Drosophila melanogaster: one gene and its partner. The protein of the gene in region 2 interacts with the protein of the main gene of each other region in a pairwise test. Each region holds a gene or a part of one and is shown on either strand. Other genes may lie near its edges.

What was found.
Region 1: the proteins of CG14671 (region 2) and CG13526 interact in a two-hybrid assay, tested with the Drosophila melanogaster proteins (one large-scale study listed by BioGRID).

What each region holds. Positions count from the first base shown.
Region 1 is NT_033778.4:22,753,500-22,756,396, forward strand, and holds CG13526 (uncharacterized protein), read left to right. Parts: upstream 1-1,719; 5' UTR 1,720-1,825; coding exon 1,826-2,290; 3' UTR 2,291-2,397; downstream 2,398-2,897.
Region 2 is NT_033777.3:5,549,489-5,566,384, forward strand, and holds CG14671 (uncharacterized protein), read right to left. Parts: upstream 15,328-16,896; 5' UTR 15,238-15,327; coding exon 14,918-15,237; intron 14,853-14,917; coding exon 14,705-14,852; 3' UTR 14,489-14,704; downstream 1-14,488. Other genes in the region: mia (meiosis I arrest), read right to left, coding at 105-274, 335-1,132; Pcmt (Protein-L-isoaspartate (D-aspartate) O-methyltransferase), read right to left, coding at 3,474-3,557, 3,783-4,187, 4,443-4,579, 4,641-4,695; Snm1, read left to right, coding at 5,647-6,713, 6,771-7,224, 7,282-8,052; Pi4KIIalpha (phosphatidylinositol 4-kinase II alpha), read right to left, coding at 8,810-8,813, 8,879-8,947, 9,011-9,831, 9,891-10,086, 10,184-10,314, 10,587-10,705, 12,779-13,406, 13,477-13,641; CG12746 (uncharacterized protein), read left to right, coding at 16,654-16,896.

The DNA of each region.
Region 1 (2,897 bases), on a different chromosome or scaffold from region 2:
GAGTTTCAACACTTTGCAATATAATCTAAGAACATCAATGCTATGACATCTTACATCAGCATTCTCTCGCATTTTTTTGAGTGCATTCGGTTGAGTATGTGAGAGCTTGTCGATTATCGCAAGCATTTGGCGAACGGCAAACTTTTGCGCTTGTCGGCGTTAACAAGCCACAGCCATGCGTTTAACTAAGCGTAAATGTAACAGTGTGTGTGTGTGTGTGCGGAAGGGTAAGGGGGTGGCGGTTGAGGGGGAGTAGATCCTGTCAGCGTGTGACTAAAGTGTGTTGGTGTGTGTGTGAGTGTGTCGGTGCGGTTGGGTAGCAGCAACATTGTTGCAAAATGATTTTGAAAAAAAAAAACCATCAATAACTCAAATATAATGACAGTTTTCCACTTGTTGTTGCCCGTCACAATCACCCGCCGCCCCTAGCTGCCAACCACCACCATCCCCCGCCCCTAAGTGGGGCTAAATGGATGAATAACTTAAGCCAGCTGCTTCGCCTTTCCTCTTAGTGTGCGATGTTATGTAATGTAATAACGTCAATCAAATTTAAAAAGGCAGACCAACTATTTCAAAATCAATTTTCCTGAGACCCCGCCCCAGCGCCCCTTCGCCATTGCGCCCCCACCCCCTTTTCATGGAAGCGGTGGGAATGTGGAAAAGTGGAAAGGCAGCGGAAGGAAACAGGAAAGCGAGCTCGGCTTAAGCAAATACACAAGCACAAGTTGTTGCAGCATCAGAGGAATCCTGAGTGGGCTGTTGCTTGTGGAGCGGAGGAAGTAGGCTAATGTAGCAGAAGAAGACTCCGGACTCAGTCACTTTGCAAACAGTATCCCCCACTAAGCTCTGACTAGCGAAATTTGCAGCCAGGCACCGTGACACCGAGTGAAAAAGTGCCTGCCATGGTTAAAGTTGGGTTTAAACTTTTGACTGGCCGTGGCGCGTGGTTTTTGCCCCCGGGAGAAATGTATCATTCGTGTCATTAATCATTCGTCATGTGGGACGGCGACAACATTTCATTTGCTTATCATCCGGCTCAAAGTCTTTGGGGGAATGAACGCAACAAGAGCAGGCCTCAAAGTTGAATGAATCAAATGGGCTGTCGGAAAACTTATTTCTAAGCCTAGAAATCCCTGACAAGTCAGTGGCTTCGCGTCCCCTGCGATTGTAGGGATTTGAGGAGGCGGAGGTAGAAGCATTAGACAGAAGGTGTGGTTAAATAAATGTTTTCTTATTTGCTGAAATTACAGCAGTCTTAATTAGGATTTTCTCAAAAATATTTCACAGTATGGTTGAAATTTAAAAGTCCAACTATGATAGCATTTATTCAATATAATTACTTGAAACTGGACAGGGATTACAAAAAATCCTTTCAGCTAGTACAAGAGCATCCTTTCAATTTATATGCCCGCTTGATTTTTTATGGCCAGCACTCCACAGCACAACTACTGCCCATCATCATCATCATCGTCATCTAACATCATTCCTGTCCCATGGACGGCCACTCAAAGGCAAGCGCTGAATTGACAAATTGATGGATGGTTCTCCAAACGTTGCATGCTTCAGCATCTCTGCTTTCCTTATTTTTTCCCTTTATTGCCCCTTGTACGAGTATATGATGCATTATTATTCCGGAAAAGTTTGTGACCGCAACAACAACAATTGCTTGCCTAAGTGTTTTATTAGCCATCGAGAACAGAGTTTGAGTTCGGTTGAGTTGAGTTGATTGTCAGTTTTCATACACATCGGTTTTTCCCCATTTCTCCTTTTTTTTTTTGTATTCCTGATTTTCCTGAACTACTTTAGGGTTTTATTTGCTAGTGCCATGCCTTCTTTTTCCGGCAATGAGCTGACGAATGAGCATATCGACGAACTGAGGGATGCCTTTGAAAAGTATGATCTGGACTCGAATGGCACATTATCAGCCAACGAGGTGCGACTGGCTCTAATATCAGTGGGTTACGAAATCACTGAGGCAGAGTTGTACGATCTCATCCATTCGGTGGCTGTGAGAGACGAGGAGAGGCTGGACTTGAAAAAATTTATACGCATGATGGCGCCCCGAATGGCCAATGTGGATAGTGATAAAAGTCTATGCCGGACCTTTAACATGATTGACCGCGATCGCGACGGCTACGTCACCGTCCAGGATGTTCGTGCCATTATGGTCGTCCTGGGCGAAGTCGTAACCGATGACGATATTAAGGATATCTGCCAAGCAGTCGATATGGATGGCGATGGTCGCATAAGCTTGCGCGATTTCGTAGGCTTTATGCACAGCCCCATTTGAGCTGAGACAGCAAGCAAAATTGAACATTTTTCATACAGAGTAAGCAAACAAACAAAAATGTATCTCACAAATCTATTGTAGATTATAATAAAAATTATTGTTTTCATAATTATTAATATATTTAATTTTTGTGTAAAAAGCCAGTCAGTGTTTATGAATTTTCGTTTAATTTTATAATGGTTTTTTTTTTATTTAAAATGTTCTTTATTTTGTTTTTAGTAGGGCTTAATGTTTGAAGTACTTAAAAATTGAAATTCAATACATAGACGTACATATATTTCTGCCTGCTGGCAGAAAAAACGAAGGCGGCTGAATGGAAAACGGAAGGAAAAAATTGAGAGCATAAAGCCAGAAATTAATTCAACAGCACGTTTCGTCCATTAAGCCGCCAGAGCTTTGCTTGCTGACTTTGCCATCCTTTCGCCACCGCCCCTGCCACTCCCCCTGCAGGACATGGACATGGACACATGTGCAATGGCCGCACACACAAACACACATGCAAAGTGTTGTGTAAACAAGTCAGCTGCCAGTTGGCTGGGCGCTGCAGGCGGGGCTCACAGTAGGGGAAGAGCTAGAAGATGAAGAAGGAGCTTATCCAGAAGGAACG
Region 2 (16,896 bases):
TATTAATTAATATGATTATATTCCTCTACCAGATGGATTTCTCTCTAATAAAATGATATGAATTCACAAATAACCCAAAGAACCCACACATGATGAGTACTTGCCCAATGACTCTGGGCAGGATGCCGTTGTCGGCAGCGTCGAACTGGCGCACTATGTGGGCCATTATGTTTCCGGAGTATTCCCTTAAGGCCCAGTGATCCTCCGAGTTCGGAGATGCGCACACTTGTTTGGCCAGCAGGCAGGATAGAACGGCTGGCAGGAGCAGGTGGAGCTGCAATTCAACAGATGCATTCTTCAGCTTATCCTATTCCTCTCAGAACCAAATACTTACATATTGCAATAGGCTGAAGCGCTGGTTTCCCAAAAGAGCTCGGACCATGCGCATAAGGTAAAGGAGCAGCGGCAGGTTCTGCTGGGCCACGTTGATAGCCACTGCGTCCGCAATGAACTTGGTCAACCTGGGCAGCAACTCCTCCAGCGAGGGATCAGTGGAGATGGCTTTGAGAGCAAGCACGCGCCGGGATTCCAAGTCGCCTACGCAGGCCTCGGTTACCAACTCGAAGAAGTTCTGCTGTTCCATGCTCAGCGGATAGCGCTTGCTGGGCTTTAGCAGCACCTGCTCCACCTTTAGCCACCCGGTGTGCATGGGAGGCGGCTCCAATGAAGTCTCCGGCACGGGTTCCGGCACAGATTCCTGCACGGATTCCGGGTAGGAAACGAGAAGTTCATCCTTTTTTTCGGCGGTTACAGCTTCGCGGACGGTTTTTAATACTTTTTGGGAAGGAGGCATTTTGCAATCGTCGCAATGGACCAGCCTAAAAAAGATGTCATAGCAGAGGTCGTCGTGCATTCGGACGGCATGCTGGATGTGAGACAGTTGCAATCGCCGATCCCGGATGCGCCGCATGTATTTTCCAGCCTCGTTTAGCAGATTTGTAATGTCTTCCTTAACATTGATGGATAGCCACTGTGCTACTCCGTCGTCCAGATGCAGACCAGTGCTGTGGAAGAATATCGCGGATAGAGAACGCGGCGACAAAGAATGTCTGCGAAAACTTTTGTCCTTGTCGGGCATTTCATTCTGAGACGTTTTCATTTTAGTTGCGTTTTTGTTTTCAAACTGCCACATTTTGGCACTAGTGATGCCACTGGTCGATAGGCGATGCACGACGCCGTTATCGGTCAGAAAGGGTCGTCACTCGATACCGATACCCGCCAATTGAATTTTCAAAAATATCAAGCGAGAGTTTCAAATGCGGCTTGTTTGATTTTTTTTTGAATGTCAGTTCAACATTGGCAAAGCTTGCCACAACCTATCCGAGGAGTAATACTGTTTCCAACAAAAACACTTCATAACCAATTATTTTAGCTTAGCCGGTTATTTAATTACAAAGTTAATTATATTATATATCATATATATCATCATCACATATATGTGGGTTGTATTACGTGGTCCACAATTTGGTAGCTAGGTTAATTAGGTTAATCATCATTGACGGTTGCACTCCGGATACACTTAAAAAACAATATATCCCTAATAGCACAGATTCACTTCCCATCATTGTTGATTTTGTACAAACTTACTTAATATAAAAATAAAACTGTTCATTTAATAAACCGCGTTTTTAGACTTTTTTGTGTAATGTGTGCCCTCTGGGAGAACTTCCCAGGTCGAGCTCCTTTCGACTACTGCCCTTTACAGCATTTCCACAACCGACTGAACCTGACTTTGACATAATTGTCAAGTGAAATTGTAGAAACCGCCTAGTACGAATGGGAATAGGAAAGTCCGTATCAGTTTCATACAGTTTGGTATATATATATATATATATATACATACTATACTATATTTGCGATTATTGTTTAAAATTTGTTTTGCACTGATTTAAAGTGTAATCTCCAATATTTATATCAATAATTTTACTCAAAATATTTCCCATGCTGTCGCATACGAGAGGTAACGCCTTAGTCGATTTTTAGATACCCGTTACTCAGCTAGTGCAAGTGCGAACCAAAATTTCATGTACTTTCTCTGGGATATCGATTGGGTATAAAATGAGACAAAATGTGTAAGAAGGGGCGTTGCCAAAATGCTTTTGGTATACCGATAGAAATGGGTAAGATAATCCATAAAACGGAAAAAAATAAAAATATTTTTCCAAAAAGTCGGCTTGTCAGCTTTTGGTAGTTTGTGGGCATAATAGTGGGCGTGGCAAAAGGTCAAATCTATAGAAATGTACATATATTGTATAATTAATATAAAACAAGAAGGAATGTTATAGTCGAGTTGCCCGACTATCTGATACCCGTTCCTTACCTAGTGTGAATGCGAACGTGAAATTCCATCATTATTCATCATTATAAAAATTGTTCAAAAGTGTGGGCGTGACTTGGTGTCTTTAGGGTGTTAGAGTGGGAGTGGCAAAAAGTTTTTTTCATATCGATAGAAATTTGAACGTCTAATAAAATTGAGAAAAATTTGCTTGAATGTGGCCGTAGCAGTTTTGGGCGGTTGAAGGGAGTTAGAGTGGGCGTGGCAAAAAATCTAGAGAAACTGTATTTTTGCTTAAAATTATTAACACATTTTTCAAAATTGTGGGCGTGACATTTTTGTGCGGTTTGTGGGCGTGCCAACATAGGTCAACAAACTTGCGCTGTGTCGATGTCTCTAGAATGCTGAATCTTAATCTTCTAGCTCTTATAGTTCCTAAGATCCCGTTCATACGGACAGACGGACATGACCAGATCGACTCGGCTATTGATCCTGATCAATAATATATATACTTTATATGGTCGAAAACGCTTCCTTCTGCCTGTTTTCTACTTTTCGAAGAATCTACTTATAGTCTACTTATTTACTCTACGAATAACGGGTATAAACGTAATTTTTTTAAAACATCCTGATTAAATAAATGGTAATGCTGTTCCTGAATGTTTTAGGGACACTTTTGGTGTTTTAGCACTTGATTAAATTGTGACTGATTAAATTATATTTTACGTTCCGGACATCTATAGTTCACTTGTTGGATCTCAATTTATAAATGTCTATGATGGTGAGCTGGTTTGATGAAACAAAGCCAGTCAACTATTTAAAACTTAACCATTCGAAGTATAAGTATTTAATTAATAATATTAAGCACGAATATTTAACAATTATCCTATTCTTCATCACTATTAAAACTAAATCTGTAAATCGGGGAAAAATTCTTAAAGGTGTAGTTAAAATTTATCTCACTACGGACATAAAAAAATTATGATTTCATTAATGTAATATGAAATGTTGAAGCTGCTTGGTAACTTTAAACAAAAAAACGAAAAGACAGCGTTTGTTCGGTAAACTTATATATTTGCACTCAACGTGAAAAAAAGCAATTTAATTTTGATTGATTGATTAACTAGTAAGCCAAAATTAGGTAGAGAAAAAACACGAGCAGCAGCACCGCAACGAGCGACCTTCCCACTCTGTGCAGTCAGGAGCGAAGATCCGTGAGAGGGACGTACATTACGCCCATGAGACGTGTCATCTCCACCTTCCCATTGGCGTCCTTGTCGTACTGTAAAAATGGTTATATTATTATATATTATTATATATTATTATGTATATTATTATATATTATTATGTATATTATTATATATTATTATGTATATTATGATATATATATATTATTATGTATATTATTATATATATATATTATTATGTATATTATTATATATATATATATTATTATTATTACATATACATATTATTCCAGCAGTTATACGAATCAGCATCTGCCCACCTGTTGCATGTACTGAGACCCGCCGTCGGGACCGACTGGAACTATCAGGCGTCCGCCGCTGGCCAGTTGGTTGATGAGTTCGGTGGGTGTGTCGGGAGCAGCTGCTCCTACATGGATTGCATTATACGGGGCGTTCGGGGGGTATCCCTTGCGGCCGTCACCCTCGACGATCAGCAACTGGCCGGAGTCCAGCATGCTACGGTCGTCGGTGTTTAAGTTGGCCTTGCTCCGCCGCACCAGCTCTGCCTGGTGCTCTATGCCCACGATTCGGGTGTCCGCATCAACGCCCTTAGCCTTGATGTAACGATAGAAGCAGGCTGTGAGGTAGCCAGATCCAGAGCCCACATCCAGTATACGTGCACCGGGCTTCAAGTGGTCGCGTAGATACTCCAAGGCGAAGGCATGCTGGGAAAGAAAAATGTATTAATCTCCAGTTTAAAAAGACACTTTACTTTCAGAAATTATAAGAATATGATGGGAAGAAGCTACGGGAGTGAAGAACTAGTCTTCAAATGATGAGCCATTGATATGTTTTTAGTGGATTAAAGAAAGCTACTTTTTTATGCTGCCTCCTAAAAGCATCTTGAGTGTGGGCATTGACTCCCACAGCAAACATGGCGAGCAAACTATTTGTTTTTCAATGTCCTGGCTAGGAGTTACCATGTGAGGAGCACTGATGGTGACACCTCCTCCAATGGGTTGCGGGGCGTCCATGTAGGGGTTGCGCGGAGAGTAGTGCTTGCGGTCGGTTTCCTTCATCGCCTGGGCCACCGCATCACTTGCAATGACGCCGTGATCTTGGGGATTCGGTTCTATTATTAACTCGGCCCATTAAACGGAGCGAATTCAAGGGCTCACCCTTCAGTTGGCGAATCAGGTCTTCATTATTGGCTCCCACGGATCGCCACGCCATGCTGAAGGCGCGGAAGAAGAAGCCCAGTTTACCAATCCGCACCACAAGATTCCCTTTTTCCACCGTCTTGTTGTTTTGTTTAGTTTGTTATAATATTGTACCAGAGGTGGCAGGCCAACGATAACACTGACAAGCAATCGACACATTCAAGCAGTACTCATACATCAACTGAGTTTTGGGTCGTATGTCCTGCATCTAATAAGTTTAACTCCTCTGTTGAATTTATATTGAAATAATATCTGTTGAATATATATAATATCGATAGTTGCATAACATTTTCAGTTCAATAAAAATATCACTGGTCGAACTTTAATAACTAAAAGTGAACATGCTGCTATGTACATGGATATGTAAAACATCTAAACCCGTGCTGTCACTGCTGTGCAGGTAATATTATATTAAAATTATATAAAATATATATACATATATTTTTTTAAACTTTTTTTTTTTAAGTTTAAATCATTTATTATTATGCATTAGGAATCGTTCAGTTCCTTCTGAACTTAACCTAATGTGTAGCTTAAAAGATATTATGGATTCTGTTCCTTAATTATAGTGTACACATATGTACCGTGGAGAGATTATTGTATTCTCTTCAGACGTCGGAGGGAAATAAGGTCGACAAGATCATTCGCCAACGTGTTCGGGTGGGCGCTAAGTCTGTCGGCATATCGGCTGCTGTGGAAGTTTATTTGGTCTCCCAATGGTATGGCTGCGTTTAAGCAATGAATTGCATTTAATCGTGGTCCCTGCCATATTCCTAATCCTTTCCCGAAAATCGTTAAAAAGATTATATATACTTAATTTTTGCTTGAGAGATATGGCGGCAATTTAAATTAAGCGCTTGATTTTAGTATGACCTTGTGCTTTATCGCCTGTCGATATGATAAAAGCGGTTTCTCTGGCAATCGAACCGTGCGATCCTGGCCCTATTTGTTATATGTAAACAGGATGTCCAATGTAGGGAAAATAAAGATAAGATCCATTGCGGATCTGCAGGCCACAGTACGAGTAAATGTAGAACCGGACCCAACGCCCACGATCGAGAACAGAACGCCGGACAAGAAAAGAGCGGGAAGAACTCGTGCGGCTTCCACGACAAAAAAGGTCCGACCAAAGACGGAAGCATGTCCAATCATAGCCAGCACTGCGTTCAAGCGTTCCAGCAAGAAGACTCCGCTGCCAGGACAAATGCGCATCGATAGCTTTTTTACAAGTGCCGTCAAGAACTACAAAGTCAAGTCAAGTTCCTCTTGCAGGAAGGTGGATCCTCCGTTGGACAAGCGAAAGGTATCTACCAAAGGGCGCAAGCGCCTCTTCGAGGAGTCTACAACAACCTCATCTGCCTTTACGGGCAAGCTGGATGCAAAGCCGTCAGAGAAGCGAGTGCAGCCTAGTCGCCGTGCGAAAGGCAAGGAGAACGCTAGCCTCTCCGAAGTGCACGTAATTGACCTGTGCTCCGAGGACGAGCAGACCATAAAAAGAAAGCCATCCGCGATAGCCTCTCCCTGTGAAAAAAGCAGCGATGTCCAAGCAACCAAGTTTAGAACTCCAGAGACTTCCATGCCAGAAGCCAAGCTAAGCAATTCCAGCCTAGACCTAGTGGAAATCTCCCCCGGTCCCAACAAATCCCCAACGAATAACTTTTACCGGTCATCGCCGGCTGCAATCACAAAGGAAAGCCCCCTGGGCAAAAACTCTAAAAAAGGAACTGTACGCAAACAAAGAAAACCAAAGCCTTGTCCGCCCTATAAAGTAGTGGAGGGTACATCCTTCTGCGTCGACGGCTTTCAGTTTGGGGAAATAGAGGGAGTCACACATTACTTTCTCACGCACTTTCATGCGGATCACTACATCGGCCTGACTAAAAAGTTCTGCCATCCCCTCTACGTGAGTCCTATTTCAGCGCGCTTGGTGCGAACGTTTATTAAACTCGATGAAACGCACATTCACGAAATTGATGTGGACCAGACCCTGGACGTAGATGGCGTCCAAGTAACCGCCTTAGAAGCTAACCAGTAAGAGCAGTCGCTTTTTTTTGGCAGCTTACCAAACTGCTATTTCTCACCTTTCAGCTGTCCTGGAGCACTCATGTTCTTCTTCAAACTGAGCTCTGGCGAATGCATACTGCACACCGGGGACTTCCGAGCTAGCGCGGACATGGAATCCCTACCAATCTTCTGGAACCATTCAAACATCGACCTGCTTTATCTGGACACAACGTATATGAACAAAAACTACGACTTCTGCCACCAAAGCGAGAGCGTTGACCGAGCGGTGGATCTGGTGCGCGCCTTCCTAGAGAAAAATGCAGCCAAACGAATCCTTATCGTCTGCGGCTCCTACGTGATAGGAAAGGAGAAGATATGGTTGGCCTTAGCGAAGGAGTTCACAATGAGGGTTTGGACGGAAAGCAATCGCAGCACTGCAGTAAGATGCCTGAATTGGCCGGATCTAGACTCCGTGCTAACAGAAGATCGCAGCGGAGCAAACTTGCACGTCATTGCAATGGGAAAAATCAGCTATCCGGTAAGTGTATTTCTAAAATATATCAATTTTTTAGTTAGCGATATTATTTTGTTTCAGAGCCTAGTCGATTACTTTACTGAATTCGAGGACCAATATGACATGTTGCTGGGCATAAGGCCCAGCGGTTGGGAAAAGAACTCAAAGCCTTCGTACGGCAAGCGAATTAGCACGATCGGCATTGAGTACTCAGAACACTCCAGCTACAAGGAGTTGGAGCGCTTTGTTCGCTTCCTCAAGCCAAAGCGAGTCATAAGCACCGTTCCCGTGGGCCGCGATCTCTATGTCACTGGAGAGGTGCCCATACGGTGGTACAAGTACGAAGGTCGGGCATCTATGCTGCGTACTGGGTTTCAGCCTTCGATATCCACTTTCCTAGCTACGCCGAAGCGAGCTTTTGCAAAATTCAGTGCAGATACTGAAATGTTCTTGAGCCCCGTGGATGAGAATGCTTCCAAAGGGAGTGAAGATAAGAAAGACGATGACCGGGAGTCCGTGGTGCCAACGAATCATGTAACTATTATATCCGACACTCCGGAAGAGTGTTTTCAAACTGATTCCAAGATACCAGTTAAAAACGAGCCTCTGGCACCGGACACGTCACCGAATTCTGAAATAGTTGCACAACTCAATGCGATGGAATCCGAAATTCCATATGTTGAAATAGACATTAAAAACGAAACTATCGCACCTGATGCAGTCCTCATACCTCGTGTCCCAACGGAAGATACATTTCAAAGTACGGATTGCAATGTTATTGGTGTCCAGAAAAGCCAGGCAGTCGTGGTTAGTAGACTGACATCCGATGCATCAGACGATTGGCTCCTGTAGTGATTAAATTTCGGATAAAAAAGTCCTTTGGATTTAAGTATGGCTGCTAGTAGTTTTAAGATATTTTGTTATGAAATAATAAGGTATATACATACTTATGTTCGAAAAGGGCTTTAGTTTCTGTTAAACTTTTATAATGTTTTAATATCTTTTATATAAGGCTTGCCTTTTAAATACTTTACATATGTATTTTGGTTGATATATATATATATTCCCACACTATTTAGTTGCGAACCGTACATAATGAAATAAATTGAGTTTTAGTTTGGAGGAAAGGAAACCATTAAATATGTGCTAATGCTAATAACAATGGGCGACCTTAACTCAAGTGCTAACGAATGTAAATGAGCTTTGTATTTTTCACCTATATGCATTATGATTTCATTCAAATAATAAAGAAATGTATAAACCACTTGAGCGAGTGCTTTAAAATGATCTCCTTCTGATTTCTGCATACTTTATGCGAAAACAATTGACTATACAAGCACTTGACAAACATAAGATATTTCCTAAATATGTAACCATGGTATGGGTAAGTCATCCCAGAAACTAGTAATACAAGTAATTAATTATTGAATATGACCATTTGAGTTTTTTGGCAAAAAATACATTTCTAGGCTCCGTGCTCCGTGATTACGATTTGGAAGTATACTAGACAACAACTAAGCGCATATACATGATGAAAAAGATGAGACTGTAGTAACCGGCTGCTCGATTTGATTTTTGGTGGGGTCGGCAGGGGCTGCTCCATGGTCATTTAGCTAAAAGTGAAGTAAGTGGCTAGTAAGTGACAATGCGACGAAGTACCAATGAATCGGCAACCTACCACCAAGAGAAGAAAGGGCTCTTATTTTGGAAGCGCTGCGTAAAAGAGAAGAAACGACTGCCACTTGATCTGAAATGTTAGAAACCATTATTGGCCTCCTATAATCCGGAGTCATGAAAGTATGATACTTACCGCTCGACAATCACCGCTGGCATCTGGACCAGTTGCACCGGCGACTTGCCATCCCTCAGTGCCTGTGTGAGATTTAGAATCTGGCCCCGCATCACCGACATCTGGCGCTCGAAGAGACGCTTGTCAAAGCCGCGATCCTGCTGGAAGAGGTACAACAACTCCGTGCAGATCTCCTCTACAAAGTTCATATCTGACAACTGCGGCAGCACCTGCTCCTTGATTTCTTCGCTAAACGGAATTTTCGCCTGTGGCAACCAGGCCCAATGGTAGGGATAAGCTCGCCAAGAGTCCGGATGCTTGAAGGGAAAAGCGAGACCATTGTCGATGGCAGCGATCCGAATGAAGGCCGAGTTCACCACATTCCAATCGGGTTCCGACGTAGGGGGGGATCTCGACGAGGGTTCATCTTCGCTGCTGGCCAAACTGCTGCTATCTTGCTGTGCACTTGTGGCTGCTCCACCCGCTAGGTGGTTCGAAGGGCGACCACCAGTAGTCGGTTTCGGGCTAGCCTGCGGCGGCTCGTTTAGGTCAACGATTTTTGAAGCCCCCAACGCATTGGGCAATTTGGGGGTCACAACTCCGTGCATAGTTCTGCCGCCAGTGCCTCCCACCTGGGTCGTGATCTTAGGGGCCACGTACTTGATCAGCCAGTTGTCGTTGCCACGGTCCGTGTTGCGTATGATATAATCGAGCACGACGAGGCGCTCGAACTGCAGTTGGAACGACTTCGCCACTGAAGGCGGCAAGGGTTCGCTTTCAAAGCGCCGCAGCCAATAGTCCGCATCCTTGTAACCCTCCACGAAGAGCTGAAAGGAGCCAGTCTGCAAGGAATTTTGACTTGGTTAATACCCAATCGGTTTGTTTTTGGAGACGAGTTCACCTTTAGAGGAAGGCTCATTCGGTTGAAGTGAGCCGACGGATAGTGCTCTTTAATGCGCTTCTTCAGCTTGGCCTTCTGTCGATCAATGCGTGCGTAGTTAAAGCTCTCGGCAACCAATCTGACCACTCGCGTCTTTGGAACCACATTCAGATTGAGTTTTCGATCAACCAAGCTGGCTCCTGATTCGGAGAGGTACCTAAGAAATATAAATACCATTTTAATATATATATCAACAAATGAAATAAGTTCCTCAATTGGCTTTTAATGAATGGTGACAACTTGTATTATCTTACCCCTGATTGGGAATCAAGCAAGCTCGGCCAAAACAACACGGGCAGCACAGCTTATGCATCCATTTCGTCCACTTCGGATTCAGTCTGCCATAGGGTTCCTCGTCCTTTGGCTTAAATACGGCCAGGCATTGCTAAGGGGGAGCATCATAAGAAATGGCATAATAAATACATAGAGCATAAGCGGGTAAACAATATACAATTCACTATTTTGAAACTGTTTCAGGAAAAAACCAAAAGTTTTGCAAAAGCCTTATATTTGCAGTACTTCCCCGATTACCCGATCTTATTTATCTATGCGCGGAAAAGTAAAAGATCGACGAAGTTAGGCCCAGAACTGGACGACCCAACTCCCACCTTATGCGCAAGAACGGCTAGAAGATCGTCACCCCGATTCCCTACTCACATGGGAGGCATCCTTGACAAAGTAGGAACCACTGCTACCCTGGTAAATGCGCTCGGGCAGCACACCATTCTCGATGGCCCCCTCCGCCTTCGCCACGATCTCCGAGAAAAGCGGGTCATCTATAAGAATCAAAGATTAAAATTAAAAATAGGCATTAGCACTAGGGCTTTAAATTACTAAAAAAGTTTGTGCGTAGAACGAAGATTCGCATGCCTCAAGCGACGGGTAAAAAACGGACTGTTCGTCATTTATTAAAATTGAACAAATTTGCTATATAATTATGGTTTTAATAATTTATAAACACACCAACGAAATAACGTGCCATCTGTTGGATAAAAATAATTACAGCAAACATGCACGAAAACGCTTATAAGACTGCGATGAAATTCAAGACCCCATCCTACACTTTACTTTATATCAAGGAATGGCATAGGACTGTTGACTACGCTAATCCTCTCCACGCTACCTATGAAATCAAAGTTGTCGTTGAAATCGCCCTGCAAGTCCTGGCAAATGGTAAACACTTGCGGTATGAAGTTTTCGCGACTGCTGCTCGACAAGCGCGACATGGAGGCACTGGTATATTAAGTGCGCCGGCAGTCGAGAGGTTTCGAGTCGGCTGGCAGTTGATAAAGGAGAACCAGGTCACAATTAGCATAGCCAAAGCGTTTCGATAAGGGCCAACCCCTTGCCACCACTTACAGAGGTTCCTCAGCGGGCAGTTGGCACAATTGCAGCGCGGAGCCGCGATTTGAACGGTTACTGTGTCTTTGGAGTCACGCGCCATCGACGGTGAGTTCACCAGAAAGGGCGGATCGCCCTCCTTGTCCGACTGCGACTCCAAGAAATCCTTCTCCAGCGGGCACTTGTGCTCGCAACAGATGCAGGCGTAGGCGGCGGAGGCGGAGGGCACCGAGGAGCTGCTCTCCAGCGCATCCTTGCTTGTCGTGGGCTGCTCATCGTCTCTTGGTTCGCTTGGCTCTTGGTACTTGGCTGCTATAGCGTTCGGCAACGGCACCTGGCTGAGAAACGACTTAATGTTGTTTTTCGGCATGGGGCTATGTCCAATTGGCGACAGTTGCCAAAGGAACAAGTTCCATTTTTGAAGTGCCTTCCTCGAAATTCTTTATATGCTTCCCGACTGACTTCGATTCCGAGCTACAGACGTCCACGGTGACATCCAAGTACACCAAGATTTATAACACACAATTTTGTGCTCAATTTCGAAAAAAAACTAATTCTTGTAAAAACCATAAAATTGTAAAAAATGCTTTGAAATGTGGGGCGATGACTATAGGATTAACATACAAAGGGCAAGCGAAATATGGCCATCTAGTGATATTCAGTACTGAGTAAAACGATTGCAAAAAGAACAGACAAACTATAAATCGCTTTCGGAAGTTATTTCGAAATGCAACGAAAACAAATCGGAGGGTATTACTCATCAGCGTATGTTCAAAGGCAGCAGAGCAGTGCGAATCACCTGAGTCACAAAGGTCAAAGATCTAGATGAGTACTCATTTGGCAGTGTATATCGCTCCCACAACACACTCTACATATATCTATAAAAGTTAGCTCAATTCCCTGCACAACGTACAAATTGACTAATATTTGAGTAAGCACTTCATGGACTAACCAATAGAAATGTGGTTATTCTTATGATTGCATTGATTCATATATGTATTATTTATCTTAGCAAGGGAATACAAAAGCAGTTTGTATTAGTTTTTAAATAAATCTAAATGTAAATAATTCTTTTGGAGGACGGAAATGCTTGGGTTGACCAGGGTGCTTTTGTTGACTTTAATTTAAATTTAAAACGTATAGCAGCTAGGAATCTAACCCTTATCATTCTATTTAAGAGTCTTTTTGGTTCATTTGGTCGGACATTTTGTCTAGTTTATATTCACGTTTAGTTTATATTCAAGTATGTAACAGAGGCGAAATAGCTAGTTTCCAGTTACAGATCCTCCCCGTATAAAAGAAATTAGATGAAGTTGAATGAATAACATCGAGGCCCTAAATAATCTGTTCTAAGCTTGCGCTGCTTGTGGAGATAGAACCACCATATGTAGCCGTAGAAGTGATAAGCACATCATGAGTAAAGCCACAAAGCAAACAAGGCAGCAATGTGGTCTGGGTGTGGTAGGAAATGCAACTTGTACGACTTCATTAGACCGCTGCGCACTCACCGCCAAATGTGTTCGATACAAACTCCACATGATCGTGCCCGCGTCCTAGTCCGCCCAAAAGCTCGCTGATGCGACTTCCGTGACTGGCATTGCCTCCCCCCAAGAGCGGCTGTGACTCCCGGTTGTCGCTGCCGGCGTCCGTGGACATGCCCTCGAAGTCGATTTCTGGCACCAGGCAGATGTCGTCGGCCTCGTCATGCGGATGACGGGCGAGAGCAGTGTGCGAAGTGGTTTTCAGCGGAGATGTCAATGCAGATGAGGCTACCTTCGCGGGTGCGATGTGACAAATAATCGGTGGCTGTTGGCTGCTGCTGTCGATGCTATCCTCAGCGCTACCTTTGAGTCTTTGGTTGCGCGGGTTTGAGCTTCTCTTCAGCAGCACAGCTTCTTCGCCATCTTCGTCGTCGATCTGGTCGTCGTAATGCATGACCAAGTTATCCAGTTGCGGTTTCTGAATAACAGCATCGCCGCCGGCACTCTCCTCGCCTGGCGGCAGCCCGTTGGTGTGGTTCCTCTCCTCTTGCGCCTCTTCCTCGTCATCCTCGTCGTCCACCGACAGTAGCATGGGTTCCCGCGCCTTTTTCCCTCTTCTCCTTGTCTTGCGTTTGCCCATGCCGACGGTGTTGATCTAAGGAAAAAGTCAGTTCATATTGCCATATGTATTGCAGAAGGTGAGGTTGAGAACGGAGTGCACTCACCTCAACTTTGGTGGTCAACTGGTTGCTTGTCGACTCGAAGCCATTTAAAAGCGGAGACAGTTGGTTTCTGGGCGGAGGTTGGTCCTTGGCAAAGTCCCCGATGAGATCCACCTCGTCCTCGAGCTGGAGCAGCGGGGGATCCGTCTGATCCCGAGCGCCGCTCATGTTCGCACTGAGCAGGGGGTGGCAGGCACGTGGGTGATTGGGCGTGGGTCAAGAGGGCTGGATGAGTGGGAGGTGCCGTTGCCCTCAATCCGCAGCTGACGGAACAACAAAGGCCCGCGCTGTGCTGCAGCTTCTTCTTGCGCTTCTATCCGCGACTTTTTGGGCGTCGCTTGGTTCTGTTATCTGCTCCTCCGCTTTTCCTCCGCTCGCATGTTCCTGCACAATATGCTTATATTATTCGGGCTGCAAGTTGATTACATTACTTGCTAATTGCTTCAATTTTGTGCTTCTATTTCGTTTGGCAATTTATTATCGATTTTTGGTTTAGAACCCCAGCTTCTGTCCCAGTTTTATTTCAGAAACGGATCTTGGGACGCGGAGGATCTCAAACACCATCGAGATAGGGACTCACCATGCACTCCGCAAATGTAACAAGTGAATTACGCGTTCGATTTAATTTTCGCTAAGAACACGAAGCGAAAAATGGTTGACAAATCAAACAGCTGACGAGTAGAATTCGCGGTACTGCCCACTTGCTGGTTCTGCACTCGCCGAGTGGCAGCCTCGCACATGAGAGCGCTGAGCGGAAATATTTAAAATTTAGGCGTACTAAAATATCAAGATAAGGTTTGTGGAAGTCTATATTGTATAAATTAGCTAAATAACAGTGCAAAAATCTTTGTTTCTAACTCTTAAAGGTTAGAAAAACGTGTGAAAGTAGAACTAAAGACAAGGGGAGCCAATTTATGGACTTCTTATTCTGTGAAAAACTAATTGGCTTACTAAAATAAGAAAAATTCTAAGCTCGATATAAATATGTAGTCCATTTTAATAATGTTTGTTATTTGATACTAAAGAAAAGGCATTTCTGGGCGTCATTTATAGGTTTTTTTAAACGAGGTGGGATCATACGTCAGATAATTATGAAATTGACGTTTCAGATAGATCAACAATAATTTCTCGCATATCTTCTTCATCGAGAGTCAGTGAGTGCTGTTTCAATAATGTTTTCAAATCTACTTTATTCTTAACATTGTATGGATTGTGTGCGCGCCATAAGTATCTAGCTAAGCAGGGCACTCCTTCGCAGCTTTGTGATCGAATCCAGCGCTTCTCCTAGCTGCCGCTGCAGATTAGTGCTCTCGGCGACCAGCTCTATGCAGTCCTTGAACTTGTTAACAGCATTGCGCAAGCTCATCGGTGGCAGTACCCTGGAAAAAGGAGTAAGTGAGTTATCACATTGACCCACATACACACAGGCTTTATCAGTGCTCACGAGAACCAATGCAGGGGCTCCACGAAGCCCTTGGACTTGTCAACCGCCTGTCGCTCGATGCAGACGCCATCCGTGGAGTCCACGACCCGGCAGAGGGCGTTAAACTCGGCACTGTTCTCCGTGGGAATCTGGGCCGTGGACACGCACTGGCTGCCTCCGTGCTGAAATCTAGTGCGGGCCAGGAGAATCGCCCCACTGGCGTTACATCGCTCCAAATTTATCCGACACTGGGTGTGCTCCTCAACGAGGTGGAACATGTCCAGGTACAAGTCATCCAGTAGCTGGCCCGCGGCCTCCTTTTCGCTTCTTTGAATGCTCATTGCGGGCTGAGGAATAACTTTATTTATATATTATTATTATTTCGGTCTGACGGAGATTTTTCAATCATATGATCGCACCAACAACCCTGACTTATCGCTGCTATGCGCCGAGTTGGCACTACCGTCGATAACAAATGTTATCGCCAGCCCTATTCTGATTTGCAAACTAACAACCGACTGATTTGAATCAAAACGAAAAGAAACGGCTGAAAAAAGTTTGGTTTTGTCGCGTGCATACGAGTTTTACGCAATGAATTGTAATTACTGCCGCAACAAACACGGTCATGCCCAATTAACAAGTAAACGGTCAAGCTGCACACTCTCGGGGAATCCGACTAACGAAAAGGGCAAACAGCTGTTGTTGTTTTCTTGCGCATTAGTTTTTGGAGAGGGGTGAGGTGAAAGGGGCTGGCTTCGCAGTTTGTTTTACGATGCTGTTGCGAGATTAGAGAAAGTTTATAAAAAGCCCTGCCATTAGCATTCAGCAGCATTAGCAATCGGGAAGCAGTCAAGTTGAAACCACGTCGGGATTAACGCCACCAGACTAACAACGAGTGGATGCCCCAAGTGCAAACAGTTCCAAAGTCAACTCAAATATACCCAAATCCCAGGAGATTGCATCGGATCGGGTGATAATGCCCGATAGTTGTACGGCGGACCTACGAAGTCGCCGCCGCGAAAATCCAATCGACCGCAACGGCAATATTGGCGGCACAGGCAAGGAGCAGGTGCTCGTCAGCTAGCCAATAGTGTTTTTGACGCCTGGCTTGTTAAATCCATCGCGTGTGCATATGGCATCGGCATCCTATACGATATAGCCGCTCACTATACCATATATATATGTGCACCACACACATCCATACCTATCTGGCCATACGTAACCGCGTTTGATGACAAACATTGACGAAAAGCGTGGCCAAGTGTGCACTGAAAGAAAAGCGAATGCTATGATTCCTTCTACGAACCCTATAAAAATATTTATCAACATTCTAGTTTTAGTGTGAGCAAATGCTGGCACAATCGCTAGGATGATTGGAAACATTTTTATCTCAATTTATACGTCTCGTATGGGGCCTTATTTTTTTCACTATTTGTATCTAATCGCGAAAATCGTAGGCTTGCCCATGCCACCGCTTCAGTAAGGGGGGGTTGCCTGCCTATTCCGGTATACTCTCTAAAAGCATTAGCTTTTTCATCAATAGACTTCCCAATCTGCGACTGATAAGCACATATGCACATGAAGTAAAAAAGTTAGATAGGCCTTCTTTTCAATCTATCCCACACCTGAAGTAGTTTACCCGTCCGCATACATAAGTGCAATCATTAATGACTCGTCGTTTGGTTATCTCTTCAATTATTTAGGCGACAAGCACCAGGCCTAAGCTGACAACCGAATATACCCAACGGACTAACGAAATGACTGCGAGCAAGGAAGGTCAAGAATCCAGGCGAACCCTCAGCGACAGTTCCGCAGAGGACGTCAGGAATACAGGATCGAGGACCAGGACCAACGACGACGAAATGTGGCGCAATGAACTTGCTATGAACACGGACAGCAGCTCCGTTCAGCCAGAAAAGCGAGAGGAACGAAGCCACAGAACAGGAAACTCTAATGCGAAGCTCAGCGATGCCGTAGATGTTGTTCTTCGCGTTCTCCTC